Bombyx mori: one gene and its partner. The protein of the gene in region 1 interacts with the protein of each later gene in a pairwise test. Links are inferred from orthologs where the notes say so. Each region holds a gene or a part of one and is shown in the gene's direction. Other genes may lie near its edges.

Evidence for each region.
Region 2: the proteins of BTB/POZ domain-containing protein KCTD9 (region 1) and protein N-terminal glutamine amidohydrolase interact in binary tests that used the Homo sapiens proteins (3 or more experiments, as listed by UniProt). The link is inferred for Bombyx mori from reciprocal best matches to the Homo sapiens genes KCTD9 and NTAQ1.

What each region holds. Positions count from the first base shown.
Region 1 is NC_085132.1:6,119,168-6,121,714, forward strand, and holds part of BTB/POZ domain-containing protein KCTD9, read left to right. Parts: intron 1-131; coding exon 132-267; intron 268-638; coding exon 639-713; intron 714-1,381; coding exon 1,382-1,500; intron 1,501-2,157; exon of another isoform or gene 2,158-2,239; intron 2,240-2,547. UniProt on the Homo sapiens protein: Substrate-specific adapter of a BCR (BTB-CUL3-RBX1) E3 ubiquitin-protein ligase complex, which mediates the ubiquitination of target proteins, leading to their degradation by the proteasome.
Region 2 is NC_085111.1:12,730,795-12,735,389, forward strand, and holds the start of protein N-terminal glutamine amidohydrolase, read left to right. Parts: upstream 1-1,651; 5' UTR 1,652-1,741; coding exon 1,742-1,860; intron 1,861-1,940; coding exon 1,941-2,094; intron 2,095-2,337; coding exon 2,338-2,486; intron 2,487-2,796; coding exon 2,797-2,921; intron 2,922-3,200; coding exon 3,201-3,310; 3' UTR 3,311-4,595. UniProt on the Homo sapiens protein: Mediates the side-chain deamidation of N-terminal glutamine residues to glutamate, an important step in N-end rule pathway of protein degradation.

The sequences.
Region 1 (2,547 bases):
AGTGGCGCATTTACGTTGTGGATGTCTATGTGCTCCAGTCACCACTTAACATCAGGCGGGCTGTGAACTCGTCCACCCATCTAAGCAATAAATAAAAAAACAATTGAAAATAGTGCAATTTTTTTTTTCAGTATGCCTTCTTATCTCGGTGCAATTTGAGTGGTGCTAATCTGTCTTACTGCTGTCTGGAAAGGGCGGACTTGTCGCATGCTAATTTAGAAGGTGCCCAGCTTCTTGGAGTTAAAGCTTTATGTGCTAACATGGAAGGTCCGTATAAAAAGAATTTACAATATAAAACATAGAGAAAGATTTAAAAGAAAATATAGTACCTAAATACATGAAGATACGAAAAAAAGGCGTATAATAATAGTTACAATAAATAAATAAAACTTTAAATGTACTTACTGTACACAGGCACCGAATATGTCGAGTGATCACTGACCCTCATGGACTTAAGCAAAACTTGGGACAAAGCCACTGCCTACCGCTGAGTACTTAAACCTCATTTAATGGAGAAAATGTCATAGCACTCAGAAAACATTAGGCAAGTTTCTTCGAAAATTTCCCACAATTCCATAGTCACATTCTGTTTAATATTAGTATAAAATTTTTAATGAGATATTTGAGCTTATTTACAGGTGCTAATTTAAAAGGTTGCAATATGGATGATCCTCACGGTAACAAAGCACTGATGGAAGGCGTTAATCTTAAAGGTACATTCAATTCTAATTAGAGTGGTATGTGCATTTATACACTGTATTGCCATACAGTGGCATGCCAGTGGCCACATTGGTATTTAGCTAAGCCAATACTAATATAGATAATGGCTATTATTTGATAGCTATGAAATTAATAATAATATATTGGTGAATACAAGTCTTGTTTTGAGGGAAAGAGCAACCAAGACATCATATTTATTTACGTTGAATAACCATCACTAGTACCAAATAACTAGCAAAATAGTATTAATAAAAATAAAAAAACATGTAGGTACAATATTATTTTTTGGTAGCACTCCAATTCTTTACAATAAGATGGAAAATTTTACGAAAGCGTATCGTCTTTGTTGAATTGTTTTTGAATTATGAGTCTATATTTTATTTAACCAAAAATTAGAGGATCTGGGATAAATTATTTGTGATGATCCACAGAGATCAATTTGACAGTGTACGTCAAATTGATCCAACGTACTTTGGAATGAACTCTGTGTTTCTTGAGCGCTTTGACTTCTTTCTCCAAACAAAGTTTAAGTGAAGTCCTCAATAGTAGTGTAACAAAGATCTTCTCTAATTGAATGCGCAATGCTAGTACAGTATTTTGGGTCACTAACAAACAATGAAGTGATCCAAATTGGTTGGTTAAAAGAGAAAATAATTTTCAGGAGCAAATCTAGAAGGCAGTAATATGTCGGGGGTTAATTTGAGAGTGGCAACACTAAAGAACGCCAACTTACAAAACTGCGATCTGAGGACGGCTGTGCTCGCCGGTGCAGATCTGGAGGTACTTTTTGTTCCATCATATTTCTGTTGCTAAGCAGTCCTCCGTTTCGGCTTGAGACTACCGCCCCGTGTCTCAAAGAGGAGTGCAGCATTCACGTAGCGAGGTTCATAGGCTTCCAAACCCCTTAATATTAGGCCATGAGTTCACCTATCCATAGCAAAAACTAGTAAGGAGAATGTGAATGTATGATGTTAAAAGATTTTCTGATCTTCAAAAAGAAGAGTAACAATAATTCCAAATGAATGAATGTTTTAATTTATTTATTTTTGTACCTGTAATGTAATAATTGCACTTCTATACTCTCTTCAATCGGTCGCTCATTGCTGAGGATCGTGACTCCGTTTGATTCCGTCAACTAGCTGTCTCCATCGATCCCGTTCTGTAGCTTAATGGAGGGCGTCGCTGACAGGTATTTTTAGTTCATCCACTATTTGGTCCGACCATCGTTTGGGATCTCTACCCCTTGGCCTTTTTCCCTCGATTTTACCGGTCACCATAAGGCGTTCCGAGAACTCCATGGAAAAGGTCAACTTATGTAATAAACAATTTATTTATCTTGAGCAGCCTTGCGAATAAGCATATATATTTTTAAAATACAACAGTATAATTAGATTGAGTAATATTTATGTAATATTTTGGGGCAAATAAAAAAAAAATTGGCAGCGGTGGGATTCGAACCCACGCCTCCGAAGAGACTGGTGCCTTAAACCAGCGCCTTAGACCGCTCGGCCACGCTACCGATATTCCGTGACGCAAAATAGTGAAGTAGCTTCTCCAGTAAGTCTATTTTGGGAAACTAAGATTAAATAAAAATCCATGACCTGAATTTTTATAGTACTTGTATTTTTTCCACACAACGAAGACGAAAAAAAAAAAAAAAAACGTCGTTAGCTAGTCTGCCGTGTCGAGTTGAATGTTATTGAAACCAATATAAGGAAACACGGGTTTCGTTTTGTCCGTACATACATACGTATTGTTCTTTTCCCCTCCCAATAATGACGAAGGCAAACATTTCCATACCAAACGACTATTTTTTTTTTAAATATT
Region 2 (4,595 bases), on another chromosome or scaffold:
GGCGCTAAAATTCCTTGGGCCCGCGGTCTGCTCCCAACACCTTGCAGATCGTTGAGTCACACATACCCGCGCGCCCCCTAGGCGAGGGGACCTCGTAGGAGGTTCGGCCCCCGACACGAAAAAAAAAGAAGAAAAAAGGTAGTTAGCCCTACGGGCGATGAACCGTCGAGGCGATCCGCCCAGTCCTCTCGGACTGGGTGAATCCCGAAGACGTCTCACCTTCCGAGCGACGCATGTACTTACGGAACACGGCTATTTCGGTCGCTACCTGCACCTCGTCGCCCGGAGGGAGCCGATGCCGAAGTGCCACCACTGCAGCGGCTGTAAGGAGAACACGGCGGAGCACACACTCACGTACTGTCCTGCTTTCGCGGAGTGGCGCCGCTTCCTCGTTGCAAAAATAGGACCAGACTTGTCGCTTCCGAACGTCGTGGCTACAATGCTCGGCAGCGACGAGTCTTGGCAGGCGATGCTCGGCTTTGCGAGTCCACCATCTCACAGAAGGAGGCGGCGGAACGGGAGAGGTAGAGCTCTTCTTCGTGTGCCCGCGCACCATGCCACCCCCACCAAGCTGGGGTTCGGAGGAGGGCGTTCGTCCAGCTCCAGCCCCTGTGAGGAGGCAGTTTCCTCCCGGTGACGGTCACAGGGCGACCTGAGGGGGTTGAGGCTGCGCTGCACGCTACCACGCCGTCACTCTAGCACGCTGGCACCAGGCCACGTTGTCGTCGTCGCTGTCGTCCCCGAATATACTGTGGAAGAGCAACCCGGTCGGCGGTGTATCGCGTTCCGACCCGGCAGGCTGGTTCTGACCCAGCAAGGTATCATGGAACACCTGCGGCAACGCCTGGACGGCCTGGCAGGGCCGCCGTAACGCGGAGATCGGCGTCGTTAGTCGTCGACTATCCTAGCCTAGACAACCGTCAACGCGTCGGTTGGCTGTCCTGGAGGTGGCGGGCGGCATCGCGAGTATGGTTGTAGTGTTGACCGCAGGAACCTCCTACTCTAACCGGGTTCTGACCTCGGGTGATGATCGGACGTCGGGTATAAATATGCAGGGGAGTCGTTTAATGCGGTAGGGCCCTGAAACTCCTTGGGTTCGCTTTCTGCTCCCAACATCTGCAGATCCTCAAGTCCCACGTACCCCGCGTGCCCCCTAGGCGCAGTGATCTCGTAGGAGTATTTTAGAAGTAGAAATTCAACAGAGATATTAGGTAGTAGATACCTATCTCTATATAGTCTGTGACACGACTACAACACACAGTGTGGAAATGGGTTAAATTTGGCTCTCAAATATTAAGTGTTTAATCTGAATTTGGCTACACACGTTCTCCAAAGGACTTTTTGGCGGTAACACGAAGAGTGAAGTTGTGTGATTTGTTTTATTTTGTCTATTTAGTGTTTTTTTTATGTTTAAATGTGTAATAACGGTGGTTTATTAACTATTAAATATCTGTGATAGTGCACAAATGTGGGAAAATGAAACATTTCATTTAATTTCATCCCAGTTGATTAATGTCTCAAATTAATCATCTTCATTTCATTTCATATCATTTGACTCCATATTATCATTTTTCATAAAATAAGAATAAAAACTAAAATAAGACTTGGCCTAAAGGTCTTAGTTACCAGGTCATAAAATCCCTTAAAAAACGTTCTCCAATAGTCTCTGTCTCTAGAATCTAGATTTATGTTTGTTTGAAACCTTCGTTGAAGTTCGTTGCATAGATATTAAACTGTCAAAATGTCGGTAAATGCACAAATGCATTTAAACAGCAATGCAAATATTATAAAGAGTGATAAAACTATAATAAAACCTTTATTCCCTAAACGTGAGGAATGTTCTCATGTGTCCTGTTATTGGTATGTAGTAATTTCCGCACACTTTCTGAAAATTCTTTGTTGAAATTTGCAATAATGTCTCTGTTTATTCAATTTTTTAGTGAGGAAAACGTTTGGAAACTTTGCCAAGACGTTTCATTGAGAGTACCCGAGGAATTGGATAGATGCTATGTCGTTTTCATTTCGAACCCTTGCCGCACAGTGCCTCTTTGGAAACAAAGGGCCGGGCGTGAAGAAGATCGTCTCGTCATATGGGTGTGTACCAATACATCGTTTTTGGTTTTTGTTTTGTTGTTACTTAGCTTACAATCAATAAATCTATTAACAAGTTTAACAGGTAATTCATGAATTTTACAAATTGTTGACATACATACATATTATATATAATATTTTTTTACGATGTTAAAAATAAAAATAAAAAAATAATCTCAGAAAATAGATCTAAAGTATATGAATATTGTTCAACCCTATTTATTTAACTTATTTTTCTGGTTTCAGGATTATCATGTGATATTCCTGTATTCTGTGGATATCAAGTCTTGTCTTGTATATGATCTTGATTCAGAATTACCATTTCCAACATTTTTCCACAAATATGTAACAGAAACTTTTCGCACAGACCAAGTCCTCAAATCAGATTTCCACAGGTAAGATTTACTGATTTAATTAAAATATAGATACCTAGCAGTTTTTTGTTTTGTGTTTAGTTTTTTGTACCCCTGGCATGATTGGTACCACTTACAATCGAAGGGGCTATAGTTATGCTTGTTGTGGCAAAAATACACTCAAATTATGGTTTAAGTAATTTAATAAAGTGTCCCTTTAAAAGAAATGTATAGAAAATAGTAAAAAACTGAATTTTCATTAAAATTAAAACATAGCGAAAAAATATTAATATTATAATTTAAACATATTAAATTGGTGGTTGGGTGTTTAATAAAAAAAAATATGTTTTAGGTTCTTTCGTGTTGTGACTGCAAAACAATTTCTGCAACTTTTTTCATCAGATAGACGTCATATGAAAAGACCAGATGGTTCATGGATTAAACCCCCACCACCCTACCCAGCAATAAGCACTTCAGGTTAGTGAGCCACACCCATTGTTGCATGATAAAGTATAATTATTAAAATGAATGAGGTCAACTTTTGTTGTATGCTAAAGTAGTCATGGCAACATTTGATACCTTCTAGCTACATGGGCTTTGATAGTTTGTATTTAATATCAGCTATTTTAACATTAAATAATTTAGAAAATTGATTAAATATAATTGAATCAACCTTTGCTTGCATCTCATACTTTGCTCGATAATAAAGTATGTTGTCACAAAATCTTAAGGTTTTATTAAAATCTGACCTTTCAGTCTCAACACACAACTTGGATGAGTACATCAATATGGATGTAGACACAGGACCTGGGCAGGTCTACAACTTGACAGATTTTGTCCAACGTTTCTACAAAATTAACAAGTAGTACAAAAATGAAGCCTAGATAGTCCTAAATATAATTTAGTTTAAATTATCTTTATAATTGGTTTTTGTTGATTATGTTTTAGTAATCTGTTAGTAATTGTTTTTGTACATCCCTAAAAAATAAATCTGTGATTCGATTGCCATTTAGTAAATATTAATTTTTGTACAGTTTGACAACATTACACTTTATTTGATAATGATTTATTTATTTGTGAATTTTTAAATATTTTTCCATACTTATTTTAGTTGACATAAAAGGACTTGAAAAAATGATTTTGAGTAAACACATAAATCACATTCACTTTTATCTTTTAATAAAATGATAAAGCACACATTGATTTAATTAAAATCACTCACTACTAATAATTAAGAACCCATGACATACAAGTTCGTGGTATTTTGACATTAAACACAACTATAATAAAAAAAATTACATACCTTTATTACTTACTTGTTAAGTGCTTTCTATCGTCATGTTAGTATATTATCTAATATAAAAAGATTATCCTTTTAATAATAAGCAAATGGCAAGTTAGATAGATAACTAATACTTATAATAAAATTTGTAAGTATATAATCAAGAGGCTAGTGCTATAATTTCAAATATTGAATTGTAAGTAAGTAAGTAGAGTTTTAAAATTTTATTTATTATTAGGATCGCCAAAGGAATTTACAACATTGCATGACTGTACTTCAAACAATGAAATGTGGGCTAATTGCAATTCTCATAACAGGCTACCATAAATTATAAAAGAATTCAATGTTAATTTTGGTGAGTAACTATAAAACATAATAAAGATTATTTGATACTTGTTATGACTGAATTAAACTTTATTTACTAAATTTATGTTATCTTGAGTGATAATATAAAATTGAAGTAATTTTTATTAAAATGTATATTGTTGTGAGTAGCTTTTGTATGTTGTTAAATCTATTTCAAAATTTTGTAACAACTTTTATACACTTCTTTATTCTTCCCTAGCACCCTTAGTAAATATAAATTTACCTTCATGTTAATCCAGAAATTAAAACAATTTTATTGGAATGAAAATACTTGTTATATTCGTAAATATTTATTAAAAATTTATTAATATATAACTGGTTATAAGGTTTTAATTGTATCGCTTAGATTTTTAACTATATTGCTGTTATAATTGGCGCAATTTTAAATGCATCAGCAAAATGAGCAAATCAAGAATATATAAAATTTATTACAATAACCTACTATATTGTGATTATTGTTAGTTTAATTTACTCGACATTTATTCTTCAAAGAACCTAAAATG